7 linked regions of the Macaca mulatta genome follow. The protein of the gene in region 2 interacts with the protein of the main gene of each other region in a pairwise test. Links are inferred from orthologs where the notes say so. Each region holds a gene or a part of one and is shown on either strand. Other genes may lie near its edges.

The links.
Region 1: the proteins of PPP1CC (region 2) and YLPM1 interact in a two-hybrid assay, tested with the Homo sapiens proteins (2 studies listed by BioGRID and IntAct). The link is inferred for Macaca mulatta from reciprocal best matches to the Homo sapiens genes PPP1CC and YLPM1.
Region 3: the proteins of PPP1CC (region 2) and PPP1R18 interact in a two-hybrid assay, tested with the Homo sapiens proteins (2 studies listed by BioGRID and IntAct). The link is inferred for Macaca mulatta from reciprocal best matches to the Homo sapiens genes PPP1CC and PPP1R18.
Region 4: the proteins of PPP1CC (region 2) and INSYN1 interact in a two-hybrid assay, tested with the Homo sapiens proteins (2 studies listed by BioGRID and IntAct). The link is inferred for Macaca mulatta from reciprocal best matches to the Homo sapiens genes PPP1CC and INSYN1.
Region 5: the proteins of PPP1CC (region 2) and RANBP9 interact in binary tests that used the Homo sapiens proteins (3 or more experiments, as listed by UniProt). The link is inferred for Macaca mulatta from reciprocal best matches to the Homo sapiens genes PPP1CC and RANBP9.
Region 6: the proteins of PPP1CC (region 2) and CSRNP1 interact in binary tests that used the Homo sapiens proteins (3 or more experiments, as listed by UniProt). The link is inferred for Macaca mulatta from reciprocal best matches to the Homo sapiens genes PPP1CC and CSRNP1.
Region 7: the proteins of PPP1CC (region 2) and TOR1AIP1 interact in binary tests that used the Homo sapiens proteins (3 or more experiments, as listed by UniProt). The link is inferred for Macaca mulatta from reciprocal best matches to the Homo sapiens genes PPP1CC and TOR1AIP1.

Annotation. Positions count from the first base shown.
Region 1 is NC_133412.1:147,955,492-147,959,676, forward strand, and holds the start of YLPM1 (YLP motif-containing protein 1), read left to right. Parts: upstream 1-1,385; 5' UTR 1,386-1,509; coding exon 1,510-2,382; intron 2,383-4,185. UniProt on the Homo sapiens protein: Plays a role in the reduction of telomerase activity during differentiation of embryonic stem cells by binding to the core promoter of TERT and controlling its down-regulation.
Region 2 is NC_133416.1:117,905,047-117,908,546, reverse strand, and holds part of PPP1CC (serine/threonine-protein phosphatase PP1-gamma catalytic subunit), read left to right. Parts: intron 1-2,466; coding exon 2,467-2,571; intron 2,572-3,500. UniProt on the Homo sapiens protein: Protein phosphatase that associates with over 200 regulatory proteins to form highly specific holoenzymes which dephosphorylate hundreds of biological targets.
Region 3 is NC_133409.1:152,359,452-152,363,567, forward strand, and holds the start of PPP1R18 (phostensin), read left to right. Parts: upstream 1-1,316; coding exon 1,317-2,927; intron 2,928-4,116.
Region 4 is NC_133412.1:51,481,282-51,485,459, reverse strand, and holds the start of INSYN1 (inhibitory synaptic factor 1), read left to right. Parts: upstream 1-1,378; 5' UTR 1,379-1,850; coding exon 1,851-2,006; intron 2,007-4,178. UniProt on the Homo sapiens protein: Component of the protein machinery at the inhibitory synapses, probably acting as a scaffold. Inhibitory synapses dampen neuronal activity through postsynaptic hyperpolarization.
Region 5 is NC_133409.1:169,401,130-169,405,113, reverse strand, and holds the start of RANBP9 (ran-binding protein 9), read right to left. Parts: upstream 2,801-3,984; 5' UTR 2,471-2,800; coding exon 1,891-2,470; intron 1-1,890. UniProt on the Homo sapiens protein: May act as scaffolding protein, and as adapter protein to couple membrane receptors to intracellular signaling pathways. Acts as a mediator of cell spreading and actin cytoskeleton rearrangement.
Region 6 is NC_133407.1:101,446,837-101,450,336, reverse strand, and holds part of CSRNP1 (cysteine/serine-rich nuclear protein 1), read left to right. Parts: intron 1-335; coding exon of another isoform or gene 336-375; coding exon 376-592; intron 593-1,181; exon of another isoform or gene 1,182-1,806; coding exon 1,807-2,066; exon of another isoform or gene 2,067-2,232; intron 2,233-2,600; exon of another isoform or gene 2,601-2,619; coding exon 2,620-2,934; exon of another isoform or gene 2,935-3,031; coding exon 3,032-3,500. UniProt on the Homo sapiens protein: Binds to the consensus sequence 5'-AGAGTG-3' and has transcriptional activator activity. May have a tumor-suppressor function. May play a role in apoptosis.
Region 7 is NC_133406.1:37,313,566-37,317,065, forward strand, and holds part of TOR1AIP1 (torsin-1A-interacting protein 1), read left to right. Parts: intron 1-1,277; coding exon 1,278-1,319; intron 1,320-2,247; coding exon 2,248-2,316; intron 2,317-3,500. UniProt on the Homo sapiens protein: Required for nuclear membrane integrity. Induces TOR1A and TOR1B ATPase activity and is required for their location on the nuclear membrane. Binds to A- and B-type lamins. Possible role in membrane attachment and assembly of the nuclear lamina.

The sequences.
Region 1 (4,185 bases), on a different chromosome or scaffold from region 2:
ACTACATTTCTATTTGAGAACAGAAGCTCTTCCTTCTGAAGGATGCCTTGCTGCTCCACTTTCCATTCACATTCACCTCCTGAGAGAGGTGAAGATCTGGGTTGCTAAGATGAAAGAAAGGTCAACTCTTTGCATGTTACTCAAGTGATGCACTGACACAATCTTCTCACAGTTCTCCCACCACAAACACACACCCAACAGAATTCAGTGTATTAACTTTGTTTTCAGTGATTCACTCAAGCTAAATAAAGAGTTTATGTTTGGTATTATGTTGAGAGTTTTTGGAAGATTGTCTTCCAGGTTGTCTTTAGACCATCTTTTTTTTTTTTTTTTTTTTTTTTTTTTGAGACGGAGTTTCACTCTTGTTGCCCAGGCTGGAGTGCAATGGCGCGATCTCAGCTCACAGCAACCTCCGCTTCCTCAGCTCAAGCGATTCTCCTGCCTCAGCCTCCCAAGTAGCTGAGATTACAGGCATGCACCACCATGCCCTGCTAATTTTGTATTTTTTTAGTAGAGACAGGGTTTCTCCATGTTGGTCAGGCTGGTTTCGAACTCCCGACCTCAGGTGATCCGCCCGCCTCAGCCTCCCAAAGTGCTGGGATTACAGGCATGAGCCACCACGCCCGGCTAGACCATCTTTGTATCTGGTTTTTGCTCTCTTCGCTTTCGCTCTGAGATTCTGCAACACAGATTTATAGTTGTTGAGATAGTCTAAAAAATTCTATTTCTCGCCTTTTACAATTCCTGCAGATGTTATTACTATGTCTGCAGGAATTGGTGTAATCTTACACGCAGCCTTGAAAACACCTTTCCATTCTTCACAGCTTTGTTCCCAGTAGAATTTTTGGGTAGACCTGAGTTGGGTCTATTCATTTAATTTGGGAGAAACTGACATCTTTACAATTTTTCCTCTTTTCACCCAGGATCATGGTAAGCCTCTCCATTTTTTGAAGTCTAATTTCATCCTACGTGGATATGCTTCTTTATGACTCTGTAGTTTTCTACATAGAAATCCTACATCTTTCTTGTTAAGAGTTTTTCCTAGTTACGTTATTTTTGTTGTTGTTGTTGCGATTGTTGCTATTGTGAATGGAACCTTTTTTTTTTTTCCATTCAAAAATGAACCCGTGGAGCGATAGGATCTCTACCACCCCTTTCGGCTGAGAGACTCTATGGTTTTACAGTTATATGAGAACATTCTACTCGCGCTTACATTATCTGAACCCAAAGGAAGATGGCAACCACGAGTCTCCAAGTAAAGGGCCGCTCTATCTCGCCTTTGTTCTCCTCTCGGTGGTTACTGCGCAGACGTAGTCGCCCAAGTCGCGTCCCCGCCTTCCCGGTCGCGGGCCCAGCTAGCGAGCGCCGGCGCACTGGCGCGCTCCGTTTACACGCTCCGGGGCCTGTAGGCGCCGCGAGTTCCGGCTGTCGCCGTCGCCGCCGCGGCTCCTGGAGGTCGGTTGCGACTAGTAACGGTGCCAGGACGAGCCCTACGCCTTCTTTTTCGATATGTACCCGAACTGGGGCCGGTATGGCGGGAGCAGCCACTATCCGCCACCGCCGGTCCCACCGCCGCCGCCAGTGGCGCTTCCTGAGGCCTCGCCGGGGCCCGGGTACTCGAGCTCGACGACTCCCGCGGCCCCCTCCTCCTCGGGCTTCATGAGCTTCCGCGAACAGCACTTGGCGCAGCTCCAGCAGCTGCAGCAGATGCACCAGAAGCAAATGCAGTGCGTGCTTCAGCCCCACCACCTTCCTCCGCCCCCCCTGCCGCCCCCGCCGGTGATGCCAGGGGGCGGCTACGGAGACTGGCAGCCGCCACCGCCACCGATGCCCCCGCCACCTGGGCCGGCCCTCAGCTATCAGAAGCAGCAGCAGTACAAACACCAGATGCTCCACCACCAACGAGACGGGCCTCCTGGTTTGGTTCCAATGGAGCTGGAATCCCCCCCTGAATCTCCCCCTGTGCCGCCCGGGTCTTATATGCCACCATCTCAGTCTTACATGCCCCCACCTCAGCCGCCACCCTCTTACTACCCCCCGTCCTCATCTCAGCCCTATCTGCCTCCTGCTCAGCCGTCCCCTTCGCAGTCCCCACCTTCCCAGTCCTACCTGGCGCCCACCCCTTCTTACTCATCCTCCTCCTCTTCCTCGCAATCCTATTTGAGCCATTCCCAGTCCTACTTGCCCTCTTCTCAGGCATCTCCTTCCCGCCCCTCCCAGGGCCATTCTAAATCCCAACTACTAGCTCCACCACCACCGTCCGCCCCCTCTGGAAATAAGACAACTGTCCAGCAAGAGCCTTTGGAGAGTGGGGCCAAAAACAAGAGTGCTGAACAGCAGCAAGCCGCCCCTGAGCCAGATCCCTCTACGATGACTCCACAGGTAAGAAAGCATCTGCCTGAGCCTCATCTTTCACCTAGAGGGCCCTGAGTGAGCAGGCCTCAGGGCTTTAACCAGTGCTTAGTCTAATTCCAACACACAATGACTAGCTAACACTCCAAAGGATTCCACGAGAGTCAGAGGGCCGACAGCTCAGCTTTTTTAATTAGCTAGATGTGAATTACTAAAAAAACAGCGTTTGTAGATGTGTATGGATTACATACAGTGGTGGAGTGGCTTAAAAGTTACCTCCCAGATATATCCCTTGGTTTCTTTGACCATCCTCTTAGATGGGAATTGTTGCTGTTGCAAATAGATTTTGTTGCAGAGGGTCTTGTTTTAAAACTGTATTTTAAACTAAAAATTCCATTTGAGAGAAAGCATGAAAAAGAGGCCTCTCCAAGGGCTGATGCTTGAATGTTTGCAAACCTTATGACCAGTTAGCTTCTTTTAAAAATACTACTTAGGGGCCAGGGATCGCTGTCAGCTTCCTGAATTAAGAGGTTTCAGAAAAAGGATGGAAATCTTGTCTTACCAGGAGCATCCTAATTATGTTTATAGGTACATATATAATACATAGGTGACCCTAGACCCTTTTGGGGATCGGTTGGTCCATTTTAGGAGTTTACCCAGACATCCTTTTCTCATATTATTTAAAGATTGTTTTAAGATAATGAGCAATTTTCTGCATTTCATTGTCATTACCATTCACTCCAAACAAACAGCCTTGGAATATGGCCAACGTAAAAAAAAGTTTGGTGATACCTTTTCATGAGAGAGCCAGCCCTTCTTATCCCACAGAACAGACAAATTGACAGGGTAGCAGTAATAAACGAGTTCCCCTTTGAAAGAGGGAAGGTCAAACTAAAGCAGAATAAATCAGTTATGATTTCCTAAAGCAATTACTAATTTACCTTAGATTCATTAAGGAAAAAAGAGAATCTTGTAATATAAACGCTCAAATTTACCTATAAAAGATTTCCAAAAGATAGTGATGCAGTATTATAATTTTACGATAGTTTGGCATTAGAAATTAAGAACAGAAGCAAGTTTTTTTTTTTTTTTTTTTTTTTTTTTGTTGAGACAGAGTCTCGCTCTGCCGCCCAGGTTGGAGTGCAGTGGCCCGATCTCAGCTCACTGCAAGCTCCGCCTCCCGGGTTCACGCCATTCTCCTGCCTCAGCCTCCCGAGTAGCTGGGACTATAGGCGCCCGCCACCTCGCCCGGCTAGTTTTTTGTATTTTTAAAGTAGAGACGGGGTTTCACCATGTCAGCCAGGATGGTCTCGATCTCCTGACCTCGTGATCCGCCCGTCTCGGCCTCCCAAAGTGCTGGGATTACAGGCTTGAGCCACCGCGCCCGGCCCCAGAAGCAAGTTGTTTTAAGAAATGATGCTTGGCATATCTTCTGGAGAAAACACTTAGGATGCTGAAATAAAGTAGTAGAATAATGATTCTCTTGGTTTACATCAAATTTGTACCATCTCCCCAGTTTATTTTCCCCAGATTGCTCTATTATAGAGACAGAATTTTGTCCTCTTTCCCACCCCACTCTGAAGTTTTTAGTGCTTTTGTTGTCAAACATTCTCAGAGTTAGTCTGAGCCAAAATAGGACATTTGTGTTCTCACTCTACTAGACTGTTTTTCTAACCTTACAGAGAGACAAATTAGTTGTATTTTGGCTTTTTTTGGGAGGAGTGTTTGTGTCAGATCAGGCCTTAATATGTATAGTTACCATGAACAGTGCTATTACTTTTCTGCCTTGTACTCTTGTCTGTAATGAACTCAGTGTCTTGAATATTCAGTGCC
Region 2 (3,500 bases):
GTGGATCACTTGAGGTCAGGAGTTCAAGACCAGTCTGACCAACATGGTGAAAACCCATCTCTACTAAAAATACAAAAATTAGGTGTGGTGGTGCACACCTGTAGTCCCAGCTACTCAGGAGATTGAGGCAGAAGAATCCCTGGAACTCGGGAGGCTGTGGTTGCAGTGAGCCGAGATCACATTGCTTTACTCCACCTGGGTGACGGAGTGAGACCCCACCTCAAAAAAAAAAAAATATCCAGAAGTGAAGCTGACCTTGGGGAAAGAGGAAGTCACTATCACTGGGGGGCTAAGGCAGCAGCCCTGTTCTTATAATACAGGTTAAGTATTCCTTACCTGGAATGCTTGGGACTAGAAGTGTTGCAGGTTTCAGAGTTTTGTGTTTTGTTTTGTTTTGTTTTGTTTTAATTTTGGAATATTTGTGTTATAATTACTGGTTAAACATCCCTAATCCAAAAATCTGAAATCCGGAATGCTCCAGTGAGCATTTCCTTTGAGCATCATGTGAGTGCTCAAAAAGTTTCAAATTTTGGAGCATCTTGGATTAAGGATACTCATCTTGTGGTGGTGGTGGTGGTTAGTAGTAGTATTGCTGTTGGACATGGGAGGTGGTGTTTTTGCAGATTGCCCATCAGCCTTTCGTAAGGAGGAGTTTGTTGGTTTTTTTTTTTTTTTTTTTTTTTAGATGGAGTTTCATTCACTCTTGTTGCCCAGGCTGGAGTGCAATGGTGCGATCTTGGCTTACTGCAACCTCTGCCTCCCAGGTTCAAGCAGTTTTCCTGCCTCAGCCTCCTCAGCCTGGCGGGAGGAGTTTGTTGAACTTTCAGAACCCCTCCAGTGAAGGAGTTAGTAGCCTCTAAAGAAATGCGCAACAGGGTGACCCACAGAGTTAGACCCAGTCATTGAGAAACCAGAAATTACTAGGAGAAAAGATAACACTCTTCTCTGCAGAGAGAAGGCAAACATTTGTTGAATTTACATTACATTTCAAGCCCTGTGCTAAACTCCCTAGACTGCTTGATTTGCATTACAGGGTGGGAAGTGTGGTTCAGGTCAGTTGTTTGGGCTGGCCCTAACTCTCAAAGGAGAGGTACAGGTTTAAACCTTTCCATGTCCCTGTAGTCCCCAGGAAAAGACTAATAGGGACAAACTCTTGGTTTGGTTTGGTTTGGTTTGGTTTGGTTTGTTTTTTGAGATGGAGTTTCGCTCTTGTTGCCCAGGCCGGAGTGCAATGGCACAATCAAGGCTCACCACAATCTCCGCCTCCCCGGGTTCAAGCGATTCTCCTGCCTCAGCCTCCCAAGTAGTTGGGATTACAGGCATGCACCACCACACCCAGCTAATTTTTGTATTTTTAGTAAAGAAGGGATTTCTCCATCTTGGTCAGGCTGGTCTCAAACTCCCAACCTCAGATGATCTGCCCGCCTTGACCTCCCAAAGAGCTGGGATTACAGATGTGAGCTACCCCGCCTGGCCAAACTGTTGGTTTTTAAAGATTGTGCTTAGTAAGGTACAGGAAACAAAGGCATCTGGACAATTGGACAGTCCTCAACCAATCCAGAGAAATTTGTTCTTGCAAGGTATGTGAGTAGGTTTTAAACTCAGAACATCAGTTTCCTGTAGAAACAGTGCATAGTGGCATATTTCTGTCAGAACTGCACTCTGACTCCAGAATGTGTGGATGCCTGTGCTGGTGAGAGAACGTGACCACCCTGTGACATCAGGCCTGTGGGAGCATGTGGAGTCTGTGCAGTGTTGGAAACAAATGCCCTGTAGTGCCTGTGAGAGGCACCACTGCCGTGTGATCATTGTGCCTCCTGCTAGAGCACTGAGGCCTGGGGATCCTCTGGTATCTGTAGGTTGTTGAGGGGAGTACATGGGGGATGGGTGCTAACTCAGGATTCCTCAGAAGGAAGGTCGTAATGCCACATGGTGTAAGTTCGTAATCGCCTTAAGAATTAGGGAACTAGCTGCGTTGAGATTGGACAAAGCATACTGGATTTCAGACAGAATTGATGCTACCAGATAATTCCTGGGATTTGATGGCAATCCTTAATCATTATCAAATCTGGAATTCTGGTTTCATACTTCTGTGGAATTTAAAAAGATTTCATGTGAAAATGTAAGTCATTGCTTTTAGATCAGATGTGTCTCTCCTAAACCCCTTCCCTCCAGGAGAGTCTTTCTTTAAAGAGATGGGGTGTCACTACGTTGCCCAAGCTGTTCTTGAACTCCTGGGCTCAAGCGATCCTCCTACCTCAACCTCCCGAAGTGCTGGGGTTACAGGTCTGACCCACCACGCCCAGCTCTTATTTTAAAAGAGTGTTAAAATAAGACAGTTTTATTAAGATTCTTAATAAAAACATAGTTTCGTTTGCTTAAAAAGCACCCAGAATCTTGCTTTGGGGGAAGTTAATCCTGAGAGAATGAGCCTACGGAACAGTAATACTCTCTTTTTGATCACAGGTAAAAGAAGATACAACATTAAACTATGGAAAACTTTCACAGACTGTTTTAACTGTTTACCGATAGCAGCCATCGTGGATGAGAAGATATTCTGCTGTCATGGAGGTAGTTGGGCTGATTTTTGTTCCAAATAGGTTTTGATCCCTTCCAAAGGATGAACACTTTAACATTTGTGAGTTACCATTGGGATGACTTCCTCTGACAGAACACTCTCCTTTGTTGATGTGTTGCATTGCACTGTCACTCCGATACAGCCAGGATTACTTGGATAAAAATCTTAAGGAACTGATTTATTACAGGGAATTCTAGACTCTGTAAATTAGGATTGAAAATAGAGCAGAAAATGTTTATTTTTATTTTATTTTTTGTAAGGATGAGTTCTCACCATGTTGCCCAGGCTGGTCACAAATTCCTGGGCTCAAACAATCCTCCTGCCTTGGACTTCCAAAGTGTTGGGATTACAGGCGTGAGCCACCGTGCCCGGCTCGGAAAAGTATTTTTAACTATAAAATGAACAATATGTAATTTGCTGTGCCAGGGATCCTCTAGAACACTGAAGATGTGAATAGATTTTCCCTTGTTTGTTTTTTATCCTCTCAGAACTTTCTCTGACTTGGATTTTAAAAGTTATTTTGTCCAGGCATAGTAATTCGCATCTGTAATTCCAGCACTTTTGAGAGGCCAAGGTGGAAGGATTGCTTGATGCCATGAATATGAGAACAGCTTGTAACATATCGAGACCCCTGTCATTAGAAAAAGTGTTAAAAATTAGCCAGGTGTAATGGTGCACACCTGTAGCCATAGCTATTTGGGAGGCTGAGGCGGGAGGATCACTTGAGCCCAGGGGTTTAAGGCTGCAGTGAGCTATGATCGCACCACTGCACTCCAGCCTAGGCAACAGAGGAAGACCCTATCTCTAAAAATATATACATACAAATTTTATAAGCTATTTTTCTTTGCTCAGTGGTTGTGCTTTCTATAATGTAATTAAAATAGTAATTGCAAAGAGAATTTCTTTTCATGTATGGTGTGAA
Region 3 (4,116 bases), on a different chromosome or scaffold from region 2:
CTTAGACAAAGCGGTCGCCGCCCCCGCCCGGCCCCCTGGTCTCTGTCTCCGTCCCACCTCCTTTGCTGCCTCTTTCCCTCCTCCTCTCCTTCCCTCCTCTCCTTCCCTCCTCTCCTTCCCTCCTCCCCTCCCTCTAGTCTCCGGATCTCCCTCGGTCCCTCTCTCCTCCTCTTCCTCTCTCCGGACGCCCGGCTCCTCGGCACCCCCTCCCGCGGGGGTCCTGCGGCGTGTGAGTTGACTGAGGGGCTCAGACTTGGGGAGTGGGTGTCTCCTCGCTCCGGTCCTTGCTCCCATCCCTGGCCCGGATCTTGGCTGTCTCCTCTTTGTGCCGAGATTGTCAGTCTGTGCGTCCAGAGCGGGGTGGAGACTGCCGGCTCTGTCACGGCTCCATGAGAGCGGGGACGGGGCACAGGACTTGCAGGCGCCGGGGAGAAGAGACATGGAGCCGGCCCTCGGCACTCTGGGGTCGCGTGGCGCAGCCGGTGGGGGAGGCAGGCGGTGGTGACGGGACAGGGTGGGGGTGGACGCCAGGGTTCTGGGAACGCGCTGGCAGCCCTGACGCCCGGGTTCCGAAAGTCCCGGGGGTGGGTATTTCCCCCGACCCGCCTCGGGGGCGGAGTGCGGGGCAGAGGGGTGGGGGCTGGGGAGAGGCGTGGCCCGAGCGGTGCTGGAAGGGGAGCCGGGACCTTTGGGGCCCGCGCTGAGACGCGCCGGGTTGCTGCCGCCGCGCTCCTTTCCCCTCTTCCTTGGTTTCCCTTCTCCCCTAGACCTCTTCGCTTTCCGCTCCTCCTTGCCTCCCCAACACCCCCTCAGGTCCCGTTGCCTCCTGGTCCTTCCAGGGATTCCTGGTCCTTCCTTCCCACACTAGTCTCCCTGGGGTATCGCTGAGGCAGTCTGGCCTGCACCCAGATTCCCCTCACCCCAGCCTCATTTCTCTCTTCTCCCTCACACCAACTTTCCTTTTCGCCCTTCTCTCTCTGTCTCACATCCTAGAGACTGTCTTTAATACGCATTAACCCTGACTGCCACATCTGGCTCCTGCCCTCATTGCCTCCAATCTGGACTCTTCCTCTCACATCACCCCCACCACCCCCAACTTGGGCTCACAACTTCTCTTCACTTTTTCCATTTCCCCAGTTCTCTGCCTTCCCTCTTTCCCTCTGTCCTCATCCTTAGCCCCCCTGCCCTGCTTTGTGTCCCACCTCTCCCCCTCCACTTCCTCTCCTCCCACCCTCAGTCTCCCCCCTGGGCCTCTCTGGAGCCTCTCCTTCCTGTTCTCTGCCCCCAGTGCTCCCTACCCTCACCTCAAGGCGACCATGGCCACCATCCCAGACTGGAAGCTACAGCTGCTAGCCAGGCGCCGGCAGGAGGAGGCGTCCGTTCGAGGCCGGGAGAAAGCAGAACGGGAACGCCTGTCCCAGATGCCAGCCTGGAAGCGAGGGCTCCTGGAGCGCCGCCGGGCCAAGCTTGGGCTGTCCCCTGGGGAGCCTAGCCCTGTGCCGGGGACTGCAGAGGCTGGCCCTCCAGACCCAGATGAGTCTTCGGTCCTTCTGGAGGCTATTGGGCCAGTGCACCAGAACCGATTCATCCGGCAGGAGCGGCAGCAGCAGCAGCAGCAGCAACAAAGGAGTGAAGAGCTGCTAGCAGAGAGAAAGCCTGTGCCTCTGGAGGCCCGGGAGCGGAGACCCAGCCCTGGGGAGATGCGGGATCAGAGCCCCAAGGGAAGAGAGTCAAGAGAAGAGAGACTAAGTCCCAGGGAGACCAGAGAGAGGAGACTGGGGATAGGGGGAGCCCAAGAGTCCAGCCTGAGGCCTCTGGAGGCTCGGGACTGGAGGCAAAGCCCAGGAGAGGTGGGAGACAGGAGCTCCCGACTGTCAGAGCCATGGAAATGGAGGCTGAGTCCTGGAGAAACTCCAGAGCGGAGTCTGAGACTAGCAGAGTCTCGAGAGCAAAGCCCCAGGAGAAAAGAGGTGGAAAGTAGACTGAGCCCAGGGGAATCTGCCTACCAGAAGTTGGGCCTGACAGAGGCCCATAAATGGAGACCTGACTCCAGAGAGTCTCAGGAACAGAGTTTGGTACAACTGGAGGCAACAGAGTGGAGGCTGAGGTCAGGAGAAGAAAGACAAGGCTACTCGGAAAAATGTGGCAGAAAAGAAGAGTGGCCAGTTCCAGGGGTGGCTCCGGAAGAGACTACAGAGCTGTCCGAGACCCTGACAAGGGAGGCCCAAGGCAGCAGTTCCACAGGAATGGAGGCAGCAGAGCAGAGGCCTGTGGAAGATGGCGAGAGGGGCATGAAGCCAGCAGAAGGGTGGAAATGGACCCTGAACTCCGGGAAGGCTCGAGAATGGACACCCAGGGACATAGAGGCTCAAACTCAGAAACCAGAACCTTCAGAGTCAGCAGAGAAGCGTCTGGAATCTCCTAGTGTGGAGGCTGGAGAAGGGGAGGCTGAGAAGGAGGAGGCGGGAGCTCAGGGCAGGCCTCTGAGAGCCCTGCAAAACTGCTGCTCTGTGCCCTCCCCCCTCCCACCAGAGGACGCTGGGACTGGAGGCCTGAGACAGCAGGAAGAGGAAGCAGTGGAACTCCAGCCCCCACCACCAGCCCCTCTGTCTCCCCCACCCCCAGCCCCAACTGCCCCCCAACCTCCTGGGGATCCCCTCATGAGCCGCCTGTTCTATGGGGTGAAGGCAGGGCCAGGGGTGGGGGCCCCCCGCCGCAGTGGACACACCTTCACCGTCAACCCCCGGCGGTCTGTGCCCCCTACGACCCCAGCCACCCCAACCTCTCCAGCCACAGCTGATGCTGCAGTCCCAGGAGCTGGGAAGAAGCGGTACCCAACTGCCGAGGAGATCTTGGTTCTGGGGGGCTACCTCCGTCTCAGCCGCAGCTGCCTTGCCAAGGGGTCCCCCGAAAGACACCACAAACAGGTAGGGAAGCAGCCAAGCCAGACTTCTTAGAAGCCCACTTGTCAATTCTCTTTGGACTCTGGTCTTTATTTCTTTTTTATACCCCTGTTTTCTTGTCTTCCTCTCTTCTTTCTTGTTAATTCCTGCCACCACCCTTCCTCGCTCTGCACATACACCCTTCCTTCTCAGAGCCCTCCTGTTCCATTTTGAGCCCAAAAGATCCTGCCCCAGCAAAGGCCGTCTCTGGGTGTGTCTCTTTCAGGGTGTGCCCGGCTGCTCATTCTCCCTTCCCTTGGGCTCTGAATTTTCAGCCCCCTTTTCTTTCCTTCCTTTCCTGAGTGTGACCCGCCCCAGCCCATCCAGTGGGAAAGCCCAAACTGACAAGCTTGAATCAGTGAGGGCAGCGTCACGAGGGTGAAAGCACTTGCAGTTTTTCTGCGGAGAAGGGATAGGGAGCCTGGGGTGGCGGAGGGGGTGCGTTTGTGTTCTAGGGAGAAACTGTAGGGAGAAGTGAATGGAGGAAGGTCCAACTGCCCCATGGGAAAGAGGGCAGAGCTGAATAGGGACATCTTAGGATGGAGGGGAGAGGGGAGATGGAACTGGGCCGGCCAAAGAGCAGAGAGAAGGCTTTTGAACCCTGAGTCTGCCCCATGGGAGAGACACAGAGAGGCCATTTGAAGTGGGTGACCTCGGGGTTGCACACCCCCAGCTGGGCCACTGCTTCAGACAGTGCTCCCTTCTCTCTTGGGACAAGAAAAGCCTTCTCCTCTTCCAAAATACTCCCGCCCCTCACTCCCCCGTCCTTCCTCCCTGGGTTTCCCCTCCCTCCCAAGAACTGGCTTAGGGTTCGGTTTTCCCCTCTCTTCCTGCCATCCTGGACTCTCCCTCCCCTTAGGGTAGTGAAAGAGAGAAGTGAATTTGGAGACAGTTTTGAGAGCAGGCACTGGCCAGGGAGCACAGTGGGAGTTCTGGATAGGGGTCAGGGCTGAGGCCAGCAGAGGGTCAGAGGTTAGACTTGCAACAAAGACCTGCAGGAAAGTGGGGGCAGCTAGGCTAACTCCCCCTGGCCCTGGCCTCATTTCTTCCCTGTGCACGCCCACCTGTTTCCAGCTTGAAAATCTCTGGCGAGAGAGAGGTCCCACCTCAGACATCTCAGACTTAGGAAGTCCCTCCAGTCACACACATCTCCCCAGAGCCTGGGATGCCCAGT
Region 4 (4,178 bases), on a different chromosome or scaffold from region 2:
GCGCGCCCCCTCCCCTCACTTCCCCTCGCCGCGCCTCCTCCCCTCGCCTCTTCTCGCCTCCTCTCCTCTCCTCCTACCGGCGCTGCTCCCGCCTGCGCCCGGGCCGCCGAACCCAGCCCGGCCAGGGCCCCCGGCTTCGCGCGCTCTCGGCTGGGCCCGGCGAGGACTGGGTCCCCGCGGCTGACACCGCCCCTCCTCGGGGACCCGGTGGATTCCGGACCTTTCGGAACGTGAACTGAGCCGTTGGAGCGATCTCGCCCAGGGCCAACCGCGGGGCTGGGCTGAGCGGACCTTCGCGGCCGCTCCGGACGCCGCGGGTGCCGGGGCGCGGACGTTCTGGGTCCGGGCTAAGCGCGTCCCGGGCGCCCGGCGGTGCCAGCTCACTCCGGGCTGGGTAGGGCAGGGCAGACCCCGGCGGAGCCCGGATCCGGGCAATCTGGACTGGACAGAGCGAATCCCGGACAGTGCAGAGCCCGGGGAATGCCGGACGTGGGCTGAGGGGATCCCGGCGCCCTCCCAGCCCTCCGACTTTGGCTCACGCGCTGGGACCGGCCCGGCGTCTCCTCGGCCTCCCCGCGCCCCGGTCACCTGTGGCCTCAGAGCCCCGAATCCGCCGAACCCTCGCTCGTTCCCGACCCCGAGCCTGGAGAGGCTTGAGAAAGATTTTTACTGCCCCCTTCCCTGGAGTGCGGAGGCCCCGCCCCCCCTCACCGCCCAGATGTCTCCGGTCACGGCTCGGAGGACCTCCCTGAGGCCAGGGGCCGAAGGGTCCAGAGAGAGAAGCCCGCCCTAGGGAGCCTTGGGGGCCCCCCAACCCCGTCTTGGGGCTTGGCCCCCGACGCTGCTTGGAGGGAAGGCCGGTGCCCCCACCCTCGGTGAGTCCAGGAGTGGGGGTTCTGAGGGAAGGCGGGGCTGGGGGAGGGAGGGTCCACTGGGAACGAGGGCACCCTGAGGGCGCTAGGAGGGAGGATGGGTGACTGGAGAGGCCCTCTGGTGAACCAGCCTGGGCAGGCCTGGCTGGGGGGATGGGGGGGGTGCGGGAGCTACGGCCAGGGTGCCCCGTAGCAGGCTGAGGACTTCTGCTTCTAAAGCAGGGGCTCCCTCCCTTTCCCTCTAGAGGAGGGGCTGTGCTGTAAACCATCTGCCTCCACCACCCCTCCCCACAAAGAAAAAAAAAATCTCCAGCGAGGAAGGGTGCAGGCTGGCGAGAGGAGGGAGGCAGCGGCATTGCCGGCTGGTGCTGCAGCCTAGGAGGGCTGACGCCAGGCTCACTCTCTCCGCAGGGGGCTGCCCTCTTCCAATCCAGCTCCCTCCCCAGAGCTGCCCATATCCGGAGCCCCTTCCACATCTGGAAGACCCTGGCCACCATCCCTCTGCAGGTGTCAGTTGCATCCAGAGACCTCTGCCTTTGCAACTGCCTAGGAGTTGTGAGGGGATCCCTGCTGCCTTCCCCCATCCCAAGGGCATCTCTTACCCTTAGTCCCTGCAGAGTCATCCCCCTGCCTCTGTGTTCAAGCTCAGGCAGAGATCAGCTCTGCATACCCACAGGCACTTCAAGACCTGGAGGCCACTCCTGGGACCCAACGCCCCTCCCCCTGCCCTCCCGTGTCCTCACCTTGACCCCCTCTGCCAGACTCTGTCTTCTTCTGGGTGTCCCACTCCCCACCCAGAGGCAGAGGAGGCGGGGTGGCAGGGGGCAGGGGCTGGTTGAGGGCCGCCCAGGGCCAGGGTGGGCTGGGGGGCCGTTAAGATGTGGAGCTCTGCCCAGCCGAGGGGGGCTCCGTGGAGGCAGACGCAGCGTGTGCCCAGCTGGGGGGAGTATGGGCAGGCCTGCGGCCACGTGGTAAACGATGAACATTCGGGGCGCCCCGGACCTCGGGCAGCCCAGTGACGACCCCAGCAGTGGTGGTGAGCGGGAGCGGATTCGACAGCGCATGAAGATGGTCATCGGGCAGCTTGAGGGCATCCTTCGCGAGCTCAAGGAGGTGGCCAAGGAGCTGAGGGAGGTAAGTGAGGGATGAGCAGCGACCAGACAGACCCTAAAGCTGGCCTTCCTGGGCTTGGCACAAAAACATACTCACAAATATGTTGGAGTGTGCAAAGCTGTGTGCACATGTGTCACTCTACTGGGGACCTTCTTTCTCCTTGCTCTCCTTTCCCCAAATCCGCTTTGCTAAAAGTCTCATACCAAGGCTGGAGGGGCCTTGGTGTTGTAGAGGTTGCTTGAGCAGCATGTCAGTGGGCCTGGAGCTCTGGATTAGCACCAAGGGCTGCCAAGATGGCCAGTAAGGACTGAATCCCCGGCAGCTTCTTAGTGGAAGACACCCTTCTGGGACCCAAGCTGACCCTTGACCCCACCATCTGTCTCCCAGACTCTGACCTGGTCACAAGGGGCCCTGGGAGAGTGTGGATGGCTCTGCTGAGGTGATTCCAACTGCTTGAGGCCCAGCTCAAAGCATATCCCCAGAAATCACACAGATACTGAGAACCCTTGATCTTGGAAAAATTTAAGCCAACTATGTCCTCTTTGTCCTGGGGTAAGAATGGGTCTGGGGGTGCTGTAGTGGATAACAGAGTTCCTTGCATATTGTGGCAGGGGCAGGAATCTTCCCTAAGGGGATGCATGTCTCCATCCCACTGTTCTAAATATTTTTGCCAAGGCTGAAAAACCACTGAGAAATGCTGGGATGTGTGTGTCCCTCTCTGTCTTTCTAAGTGGAGCCGGGTTTAATTACTGCTGCTCACATCGCTGGGGTAATGAGGTACACATGTCCTCAGCCCTGCCCCCTGGGCTGCGTTCGAGTCCAAAATGCATGACCAGCGTTCTGAGCTGCTAGCCTGAATTTGCCCGCTGGGTGCCATTATACCAGCCAGGTGGGCTTTAGGCAAATTTCAACTCCTTGTAACGAGGGCCTCTGCAGAGACGGCAGGGAGAGTGATTGAGCTGGAGTTATGGGCTCAAGCTCTCCATGACTAGCTGTGCAGGAAGGTTAGGGGCTCTAGGAAGGCTGAAGAGGTGGGGTGATGGTAGGTACCAACTCCAGGCTGACAAAGTGGCATTGCAGCCTGGCCTGAGAGCCAAGGAGGAGGGGCTGTTTGACAGGCACTGTGTTCAGAATGGAGTAGGGAGTGGGCATAGAGATGCCAGGACAGGAGCTGTCCAGGGTCAGCCTCATGGAGCCTGTCAGGAAATTCCATCTCAGAAGATGGGAATGACTATTGCTTTGGGCAGACTGAGGTGGTGGTGCTTCTGCCCATGGACTGGGCTGGCCATAGTCTGGGTTGCACATCTTTGGACAGTACAATTTGGAGATCAAATGCCAGATGCCCCTGTGCAACCCTTCCTCCTCTAACCTCTTGGGTCCAAGGCACTACAGTTTCCCCCCTGCCCCCATCTTATTTTAAATCAGGGCCATAGGAACTGTCCAAAGTCTCAATCTTGGCCGGGGACATGAGACCCATGCCCTGGCAGGTACCTACAAAGAGCCAGGATTGACTCTAAACCTGGGAGTCAACTTTGATACAACTCCCAGCCTTTTCCCAGCTGGGCATCTTCCAGGCATCTGTGTTCCCTCTCCCCCCAGCATAGCCACCCAGAGCTCAAAGGGATCTCATGGGACAGCCATTTACTATTGAAGAAACTGAGGCCCAGAGAGCAATAGGGGCTTGTCCAAGGTCACACAGCCTACCAGTGGCAGAAGTAAGCCTAGAACTCGGGTTCCTGATGCCTTTTCTGGGGTTTCAGCAGGTGAGCAACTGGGCGATCTCTTTGCATTTTGACAGGGGCCTTCCAGAGATGATCCCTTATGCTCATCTGTGATGCAATAGCTCTAGAATTTATTTGCAGATCTTTTAGATGCCCTCTCCTTCCCTTTCACACTCACCCACTCCCATGTCTCCAATAGCAGAGCTCCAGGTTCATAGGCTATGCAGCCCAGAGGCCTAAGCCAGGACAGAGAAAAATGAGTCCCCTCCCCCCACACACCCTGTAGGCCATGTGCCTCCACCCAAGACTTTGGCAGGTTGCTACGGCAACCAGAGCCTACCCCGTATGCCACTGCCTGCCCGCTGCCAATGGCACCCAGCTGGGGGAGTGGGTAAGCCTCAGAACTCTCTCATCCCCCAGGCGGGGTCTAGACACAGGGTGACAGGCAGAGGGGAGTGTGGAGGAAGGCAGG
Region 5 (3,984 bases), on a different chromosome or scaffold from region 2:
GCCAAGAATAAAAACAATTGAGACAGCAGTGTCAGGAATGTAGCAGTGTCAGAAATATTTCAAACTCCAACTAATTTCACATAAACATATATTTTTCTCTGACCTAAATCATGAATCTTATGTAAAAGACTAAAACTAATCAAGACACCTTACAGTACTAAATAAACAGTAATCACGAATCGTAGACATCACGGAAATTCAGAGCTGTAAATTTCCCTACCAATCTTCCAGCTCAACTTACACATCACTCAGAGGAAGAAACTGAGGCCCAGTCTTGTAAAATATCCACAACCACAAACGACTGCAGAACTCAGGAAATCTAGGATTCTTTGTTCATCTATACTGGCTCTGATTTTATGAGCAAATTACTGTCAACCATAAATTTAAAATTATAAAATTCTGTCACATCTAACAATAGCTTTCTGGCAGCCAGATCAGAAGTAAACACTTCATAACATAGCACCGTTCACACAAATTAAAACATAAAAGTAGAAATATTTCACAAGGAAATTAACAAAATGTCCTAACTTAAGATAAAACAAAGATTTGATATTGTGAATGAAATGTTTAGACGTTTAGATTAAGGAAGATAACACTTAGAAGTACTTCTTTGGATGTATGCAAGAATTAAAAAATGTTCAAGGCCTATTTTTGTGCGTGATTCTTTGCAGCCAAATCATTTGGTAGATTTGTATTGCCATTCGCCTTTCTGGTTAAATAGTAACTTACTTATCAAGCTTCTTCTTAAATTTTAGTCCCATATAAGAATTTAACCACAAGGTTGTTTATCCCCTCTACATACATGTCACTAGGATCTGAGCAGACCCCTTTGTAGCCAATCAAAGTGAGGCTGCCGTGAATGTAAAAAGCTCCTGCTTTAGATTTGGGGCCTAAAACCCTGGATTTGTTTCCAGACAGACTGATACGTTAGATTGATTTTTTTTTTTCTTCCACACAAGTAAACTTGATACACGCTATTAAATTGGGCCACATTTCAATAGTTCCCATAGCAATTCATAATTTTATATACAACTGATTTGCTTCAAGCTTTGTTTTAACCTAGGAGAGGTAGGTGAGGAAGGAAGGGGGCAAGCACAAACCTAAGGTTGTTGTTTTTAACTGCAGGTGGAAAACATAAGCCAATTTTCTTCAAAATACTAAGCTGCATTTTGTTCCATCTTCGTTTTCAACAAGGCTTCATATAACATCAACACCTAAGGACCTGTATAGAGTACTTCCAATCGGGAGAGGTAGGTTTCTGCTCCCCTAAGAAAAATGGTGCTCCTGGGGTTCCCTTCTCTTACCCTCCCGGTTGCTTTCACTAAGATATACTGATGGCAAACTTGGGTCCCTTGTCCTTTAGTCCCCCTAGACAATCTCTGGCCTAATTTTGATTACTCCTCCCCCTGCGTATCCCTGCTCTCTCTTAATTAGAAATCATACCTCAGAATCGTGCCTCTCTTCCCTCCTTGTAAGAGGAGAACGCCTGACCCACCACCTGGAGAACAATGTAACCCAACTCCGAGTCCATGGATTCCTCTACCCAAGCCCCAAGATTTATCTCCCAGGGAAATCAGAAAGCCAGTTCTGTCCTGTCATCCCGGATTCCCTCAAGGTGTCCTGCTCCTGGCCTAAGATTACCAGCTCCTTCCTACCCTGGAGCATTCTACTCACCCTCCTCTTCCAAGAATCTCGCCCCTCACCCTCGGATCCTTCACCGCGACCCCCGCGCCCACCCGGAGCAGCACAACAAGCGGCGAGTGGCCTCCGAGGGCAGAGCCCGCGAGGGCGGGGGTCGGGGGAGGTCGGGGGCGGGTCGAGAGCGGCGCAGCGGTGGCCGGCCACGTCGGGTCAGTGCCCCACTCCCACGGCAGGACACAAGCCCAGTACCTTTGTAGTGCACCCGCAGGTTGTTCTGAGAGAGGCCGATGTAGCTGAACTTGTCCTTCGGGCTCCAGGACCGAGGCAGCGGCGTCTCCTGCTCGTCCACGGCTGGGTAGAGGCGCTTCAGCCGCCGCTGCAGCTCCTTCTCCTGCTCGTTCAGGGTCGAGTCCCCGTGCGGGAAGGGGGCCGCGGCGCTGCTGCCCGCCACCAGAGCTGGGGCCGGGGCGCCTCCGGCCGGGCCGGGGCCCGCGGCGAGGCCCGGAGGCGCTGGGGGCCCGCTGGCGGGGGCGGCCGCTGAGGCAGGTGGCGGCGGGGGCGGCGGCGGGGGCGGCGGGGCCGCGGTGGCCGGGGGCGGCGGCGGCGGGGGGTGGAGGAGCAGGGCGGCCGCCGCGGCCCCTAAGCCGTCGCCGCCCGCGCCGCCGCCGGGCGAGCCGGCTGGAGAGGAGCCGGCGCTGACGGCCGGGGGCGCCGGCAGGACGACTCCGGACACTGGAGCCAAGGCCGCCGGCGGTGGCGGCGACAACTGCTGCTGCTGTTGTTGCTGCTGCTGCTGCGGCGGCGGCGGCGGCGGCGGCTGCCCGGACATCCCGGCCGCGACTCAGCCTGCGGCCACCTCCACCTCTTCTCTCCTTCCTCCTCTGCTTCCCGGGGGCGCTGTCGCTGCGGCCGCCGGCACCAGGCGCCCAGTCCGCCCGCCCCGGAAGCAGGCGGCGGGCCGCGCGCCCAGGGAGACCGCGGCGGTTGAGGGGCTCGGAGACGCGGGAGTGGGCGGCGGGCCCGGGAGGCCGGGAGAGAACGTTGGCCGGAGCGCGGGCGCGCGGCCCGGGGACGAGGTGCCGAGGGCGGGGGCGACGCGGTAGCGCGGGAGGGGAAGGCGCGCTGGCGGCCGCCGCGGCCGCTGCTCTCGCGGCTGTTTCCCGGCGGGCGGGCCCGGCCGGCGCGAGACGCTGCGCGCGGGCGGTGCTAGGCGAGGGGGCGGGACGGAGGCGCGAGAGAGGCGCGAGCTGCGCGAGGGGCGGGCCGCGGGGCTCCCGGCTGCACGCCGCGAGGCGCCCTCCCGGACCCGCCAGTCGCTCGTGGGCAGGATCGCTGGGCTCCCGGCGCCGCAGGTCCCTTCGGAGATGTCCGCCTCCTCCCGCTAGGCGGCCGCCGTCTCCCCCCTCGCCGGCGAATCCCCTCCCACTTGACTTCTTTTTGTTGTCGTCGCCCCACCTCCCCACCGTAGGGCTCCTCCGAGCCGAGACGCCGCTTCTCGCCCAGGCGAGAGTAATCGAGCCCCGCTGGGGCCGCCGCGAGCCCGGGCCCCGGGTCGCTCTAGGACCCGTCGGCTCGGGGCGTGCGGAGCGGCTGAGGCTCCCCGCGCACTGCCGCTAGCTCTCTTCTCAGTCCGGTTCCCGTTTGCCGCCTCCCTCCAAAGAGGAACGCACTGCCTTTGGTACTTCACAGTGTTTAATTTCGTAACATTGACCATATGGGCAGGGGAAACCACTTCTGAAGGCAGTCTCCCAGTTAAAATAGTGGCTATTTCATTAATTAATTTTACGAGGACTCACAGTGAACTTAGTGGTAGAAGGTGTCATTAATAAAAACCGGCATATCTTCAAATACCAGGAGCAGGCACTGTATGAATACACAATTATAGTGTGTGTTTAGGAAGGGCTTCTAGAGACGTCAGAACATTTTATAGACTCGTTAATTTTCATAACTGTTCTTAGGTAACAGAAAATTATGCCCATTTTTAAAACAAGGAAATATTTACTGAGGTCAGCAGAGTCAAAAATAGGACTTCCTACTTTGCAATTCCCAATAGAGTGCTTCGTCGACTAATTTGGCACAACTTGCCAAGTGTTGCTCTCTGACCCATCATAACATTACTACTTTGTTTTCACCACTTCCCTTTGTTTAGCGTATCCCTCCCTAGCTGGCAAAATCGGGCTTTGCATGTGTAAATTATATGATGTAAATTCTGATATTTTGTTTGCTTCCAAAGATACGATGGTAATCATTTGGTCAAATAAATGTTTTGCCGAAGAGAAAATTATTTCGTTTTGAAGAAGGTAGGCCAAAGGTGATTTAATTTAAGGCCAACATTATCTGGCC
Region 6 (3,500 bases), on a different chromosome or scaffold from region 2:
CTTCCCCTGTTGGTGTGGATGCGTGTGTGTGTGTGTGTGTGTGTGTATTGTAGGAGGTGGTGGGGAAGGTACCTAGTGCTTGGGAAGGCTTTGGGCAGAGGTGGGAGTTTGACACATCAGGCCATGGATTTGAACATTAGTTTGGAGGGAGGGAGGTGCTGTGTCTTGTGCAGAGATCCTCCTGGAGACCGTCCTCCGCCACACAGCGCTCCACAGGCAGGGCTGGAGGGCAGAGGCCAGTTTCTGGGATGCCTTGGAGGGTCAGTGGGAGGGATGATGACCCTGGCTGGAAGCCCACCTGCCTGCCACTTAGAGCTTTCTCATTCCCACTCCAGGCTGTCTGTCCCCAGACCCCAGAGCACCTCCGGCACCACCATGACTGGGCTGTTGAAGAGGAAATTTGACCAGCTGGATGAGGACAACTCCTTGGTCTCCTCCTCCTCCTCTTCTTCTTCCTCTGGGTGCCAATCTCGCTCCTGCTCCCCAAGCTCAAGCTCTTCTGTCTCCCGTGCCTGGGACTCAGAGGAGGAAGGCCCCTGGGATCAGATGCCCCTGCCTGACCGTGACTTCTGTGGCCCCAGAAGTTTCACCCGTGAGTCCTCCCTCCCCAGGGAATTCCATCACCTGCCTTCCTTCCTGAAAGATGAAATGTAGAGGTCCTTGACAAAATGCCTTTGGCCTCTGGAGGTCACGTCCCCATGGAGGTAGCTCTCACGAGCTGTGATACAGTGGTCACTCAGTGCCCACTGTCCAGGGGCACCTGAGCCCAGCTAATTCACCTTTGACCTTGGGAGTAATGACATCCAGGATGCAGCTCTCCAGAGTGCCCTCAGGGCCTTCCCGGTCTGGCCCCTCCCTTCTGTTCCAGTTTCGTTTCTCCAATGAGCACCCTACCCTCCTACAAATGGAACTGGAGTTCCCCGCCCGCCCCATGCTTCTCTGCCATGGGGCCTGTCAAGCCGGTCCCTCTCCTGTCAATGCTGTCCATTTTGCCTGAACATAGTGAAAAGGGGTTTTTCCTGGTTATTTTCAAGCTTGCATAATTGTGATTCCAGACTGACGAACGTGGCCCTAGAGCAGTGTTTCTGGACCTTATTTTTCATTATTGTTCCCCAGGAAGCCTATTAAGACATTTTCTCCTTAATTTTCACCCCCACCATGAAATTTTAATACAATAGATGTGCTGTTTACCTTTTTATATACTGTATGTATATCTGTGCATTACACATAAAAAGAATATCATTTTTAGCACATGTGATCTAACAGTATAAACAGAAAACCTTTTAGAAGGGAATTCCCCCTGGTAGCTGGGTATAAAATTAATACAGTAAGTTGAAATATATGGAATTTCCAATATTTCACCATTACATGGTAATTTATTATGGTTCAACCTAATGAAAATACCAGTACGTAGCTTACTAATCAATAAACATTAACTTGTAAAGGGAAAGCCTTTTTAAGCCTGTTGCAGAACACAGAAATCCTACAAATCAATAAAAAACAATAGAAAACTGTACAAAGGACCTGTACATGGCTAATAAACATAGCAGAGATGTTTAATCTTACAAATACTGTCATTTAAACTGGAAAATAACAATAAGCCAGTGCTGACATGGGTGTGATGTTCAGTTTCAGCTGCTCCAGTCCCAGCCACACAGGCTCCTAAATTCACATTTCTTTTTTCAAAGTGGGCGGAGAGGGAGGAGGGGGAAGGCGGGAGGCGGGAGGGCAGTCTGGCATGATCTTCCTGGAGGTATGTTGTGCCTCACTGAAAACTAATACCCAGCATCTTTGCCTGCTTTCCAGCCCTGTCTATCCTGAAGCGGGCTCGCCGGGAGCGCCCAGGCCGTGTAGCCTTTGATGGGATCACCGTCTTCTACTTTCCCCGTTGCCAGGGCTTCACCAGTGTGCCCAGCCGTGGTGGCTGTACTCTGGGTATGGCCCCTCGCCACAGTGCCTGCCGCCACTTCTCTTTGGCTGAGTTTGCACAGGAGCAAGCCCGTGCACGGCACGAGAAGCTCCGCCAGCGCTTGAAAGAGGAGAAGTTGGAGATGCTGCAGTGGAAGGTAGAGAGAGCCCTCTCCGTGGCCCACCTCCTAAGGCAGTTCCTGGAGTTCTAACCTCGAGGGGTGGGTGTACCAGGGGTGGGTGCTGACTTGCTCATTATGTATATGGGGAAACAGGCCTGTGGGCCTAGTGATTGGCTTGATTGGAGTCTGTTGCCTGGGTTGTCTGCAAACAGGAGGCACAGAGGAGGGCTTGTGTCTATTTGCTGCAGGGGCTGGGGGCATGATACCTGAATCTGAACTTGAACTTTTTGGAGAGGGGGATGTGAAGCTGATATGAATTAGGGGGGTGCGTATCTGTCTGGTTAGGAAAGGGAGTCTGTCCATGATCTAGAGAATGCCATGAGTAGGATATCTCTTTTTTTTTTTTTTCCCAAATGCCCTGAGGACTGTATTCTTGGCTGTCCTGTTCACTGTCTACACACAGTGCCCATCACAGATTAAGCATGAGTAGTGGGAGGGTAAGCACATGGGGAGGGTTTGTCTAGTGACAGTAGGGCTAAGCCCATGTCCACGTCTGTACCTCTCACATACCTCTTTCCTGTGGATGCAGCTTTCGGCAGCCGGGGTACCCAAGGCAGAGGCAGGGCTACCACCTGCGGTGGATGCCATTGATGATGCCTCTGTGGAGGAGGACTTGGCAGTCGCTGTGGCAGGTGGCCGGTTGGAAGAAGTGAGCTTCCTACAGCCCTACCCAGCCCGGCGACGTCGAGCTCTGCTGAGGGCTTCGGGCGTGCGAAGGATCGATCGGGAGGAGAAGCGGGAGCTGCAGGCACTGCGCCAATCCCGGGAGGATTGTGGCTGTCACTGCGATAGGATCTGCGACCCTGAGACCTGCAGCTGCAGCCTAGCAGGCATCAAGTGTCAGGTGTGGTGGCTGGACTGGGCTGGGATGGGGAACCTGAGCATGGGGACTTCTTTGTACTCCACGGTAATCCTCACTTGTACCTCTACTTTCTGTGCAGATGGACCACACAGCATTCCCCTGTGGCTGCTGCAGGGAGGGCTGTGAGAACCCCATGGGCCGTGTGGAATTTAATCAGGCGAGAGTTCAGACCCATTTCATCCACACACTCACCCGCCTGCAGTTGGAACAGGAGGCTGAGAGCTTTAGGGAGCTAGAGGCCCCTGCCCAGGGCAGCCCACCCAGCCCTGGTGAGCAGGCCCTGGTCCCTGCTTTCCCACTGGCCAAGCCCCCCATGAACAATGAGCTGGGAGACAACAGCTGCAGCAGCGACATGACTGATTCTTCCACGGCATCTTCCTCAGCGTCAGGCACTAGTGAGGCTCCTGACGGCCCTACCCACCCAGGCCTGCCTGGCCCTGGCTTCCAGCCTGGCGTTGATGACGACAGCCTGGCACGGATCCTGAGTTTCAGTGACTCTGACCTCGGCGGGGAGGAGGAGGAAGAGGAGGAAGGGAGTGTGGGGAACC
Region 7 (3,500 bases), on a different chromosome or scaffold from region 2:
TCAGGGCAGATCTGAAAATTCACCTTGTTAAAAGGTGCCATTTGTTAGTCATCCCATTGTGTCATTTTACAGTTATCCTTAAATACCTCCTCAAAACCTGAAGTAGCATGTTTTACTTCATAGCTACTTTGCAATGTCCATAAATCTGCATAGATAGTATATACCATTTCTCTATGGTATGGTATGTGGTATATGATATGGACTGCCTGGATTTGTGTATCGGCCCCACTACTTTTAGATATATAATTTTGGAAAAATTACCAATTTTGGTTTTCCCTTTTTTTTTTCGACATAGAGTCTCGCTCTGTCGCCCAGGCTGTAGTGCAGTGGCGCAATCTTGGCTCACAGCAAGCTCCGCCTCCCGGGTTCACGACATTCCTGCCTGCCTCAGCCTCCCGAGTAGCTGGGACTACAGGCACCCGCCACCATGCCGGGCTAATTTTTTTTTGTATTTTTAGTAGAGACAGGGTTTCACCATGTTAGCCAGGATGGTCTTGATCTCGACCTTGTGATCTGCCCACCTTGGCCTCCCAAAGTGCTGGGATTACAGGTATGAGCCACCACATCCGGCTGGTTTTCCCTTATTTATAAAATGGGAACAACAATAGCATCTGCCACACAAGAATTAAGCAAAATTGGCTGGGCACGGTGGCTCATGCCTGTAATCCCAGCACTTTGGGAGGGCGAGGCAGGCAAATCATTTGAGGTCAAGAGTTTGAGACCACCCTGGCAAACATGGTGAAACCCTGTCTCTACTAAAAATACAAAACATTTAGTCTTGCGTGGTGGTGCACACCTGTCATCCCAAGTATTTGGGAAGCTGAGGCAGGAGAATATCTTGAACCCGGGAAGCGAGGGTTGCAGTGAGCTGAGATTGCACCACTGCACTCCAGCCTGGGTGACAGAGTCAGACCCTGTCTCAAAAAACAAGAATTAAACAAAATTATACTCAATAGCTGATACACATTGACTGTACGTAATCATTGTTTTGATGGTACTGATCCTAAAACTGACTCCTTCTTGTTGTCCAATTCCTAAACATTTTGAAGTTTAGAAATGAGGGGAAAAGAAATACACTTTTATATATATATATATATAGTATATGCATGGTTTTTATATATATATATACACACTTATATACTTACATGCTTGGAACTGATGTTTTTTGTTTGTTGTTTGTTTTAGTATCCACAGTAAACAAGCAAAATGTCTATGCAGCATGTTTTTTGTTGTTATTTTCAAGTATTCTATGACCTCATCCCTGTTTTCTGTTTCAGGTCGCAACTTCACAGCTCATGATAAGCAACCTTCAGTGCTGAGTAAGTAGTTGGTTGCCTGCTCTTTTTTCAGTCAATCAATTTTTTTTTTTTTTTTTTTTTTTGACGCAGGGTCTTACTCTGTGGCCCAGGCTGGAGTGCAGTGGTGCTATCTTGGCTCACTGCAAGCTCCGCCTCCCGGGTTCACGCCATTCTCCTGCCTCAGCCTGCTGAGTAGCTGGGACTACAGGCGCCCGCCACCATGCCCGGCTAATTTTTTAAATTTTTTTTTTTTTTTTTTTTTTTTTTTTGAGACGGAGTCTCGCTCTGCCGCCCAGGCTGGAGTGCAGTGGCCAGATCTCGGCTCACTGCAAGCTCTGCCTCCCGGGTTCACGCCATTCTCCTGCCTCAGCCTCCTGAGTAGCTGGGACTACAGGCGCCCGCCACCTCGCCCGGCTAGTTTTTTGTATTTTTTTAGTAGAGACGGGGTTTCACCATGTCAGCCAGGATGGTCTCGATCTCCTGACCTCGTGATCCGCCCACCTCGGCCTGCCAAAGTGCTGGGATTACAGGCATAAACCATCGTGCCTAGCCTCAGTCAATCAATTCTAACCTTGCCTTATTCTCCTAACAAAAGTCGTAATAAAATTTCAAGTCATTTTACCCCTCTTTACCTTTTTAATTCACCACGGATTGGTACTACCTGTAATAATTACTCTGTGATGTGGAAATGTGTTCAGGGCTATTTTACCACAAGTAATTTATACTGAGTGATAATATATTTATTTGCTACCTGCTTTGCTATAGGAAGTGGTTCATCCTCACTGATAGGATCCTTTGAAATTATTTTTTACTTATAAAACTATTGCTTTTATTGTTTTCTTCCCCTCTTTTATTTTGTCTTTCTGATAGATTAATTTTATAGCACTGGAATATGGTATAAACTTTCAAAGTATGGGAAATTATCTTTTGATATATGTATTTGCTTCAGGCTCAGGATATCAAAGAACTCTTGAGGAATGGGCCCCCCAGACTGCAAGAATAAGAACTAGGATGCAAAGTAAGTAGATAAAGCTCTGTTAGTGAAATAATCTGAAGCGTATTGGCTATGTTTTTCTTGACAAAAATGTTTAGTTCTTCAGGTAAACATTTAGGTTGTTTGTGATTTCACTAATAAAGTACAGCTATGATTACTAGGTTAGTAATTTCTATTTGCTTGGACTGGCAGCACATGGGCTAGGTGTAGAATGTAAATACTGGCGGGAGCAAACCAGAGATTGATGAGTCTTAACAAGCTCTCAGTTCTAGCAGCAATACAGGCTGTATACAATAATGAAATTCTACTCTTTTAACAATACTTATTTTTCGCTTTTAGCAGATTTTGGAACAGCTTTGTATACTCATAATTTTACATAATAAAGGCTGAAATGCACAAGTTATATTTTCATGTTTAGGGTTTGGGTTTTTTTTTCTGTTTTTTGTTTTGTTTTGTTTTTGAGATGGAGTCTTTCTCTGTTGTCCAGGCTGGAGTACAGTGGTGCAATCTTGGTTCACTGCAACCTCTGCCTCCCAGGTTCAAGCAATTCTCCTGCCTCAGCCTCCGAAATAGCTAGGACTGCAGGTGCGCACCACTACACCTGGTTAATTTTTGTATTTTTACACGCCCAGCTAATTTTTGTAGTTTTAGTATAGATGGAGTTTCACCATATTGGTCAGGCTGCTCTTGAACTCCTGATCTCATGATCCACCTGCCTTGGCCTCCCTAAGTGCTGGGATTACAGGCTTGAGCCACCGTGCCCAGCCTTTCTGGGTTTTTGTGTTTTGTTTTGTTTTTGTGTTTTTTGAGATGAAGTCTCCCTCTGTTGCCCAGGTTGGAGTGCAGTGGCATGATCTCAGCTCACTGCAGCCTCCGCCTCCCACATTCAGGTCATTTTTGTGCCTCAGCCTCCTGAGTAGCTAGGACTTGTATGCATGCGCCATCATGCCCAGCTGATTTCTGTACTTTTAGTAGAGATGGGGTTTCACCATGTTAGCCAGGCTGGTCTTGAGCTGCTGACCTCTAGTGATCTGCCTGCTTCAACCTCCCAAAGTGTTGGGATTACAGGCATGAGCTACCACACCCAGCCTCATGTTTAGGTTTTGGATGGATTAAATGTCACAGAATTTAAGGAATACTATAAATTTATGTGATAAAACCATCATACTCTGAACCCACTTTCTATAATTTCTGTGGAAATGTGTCCA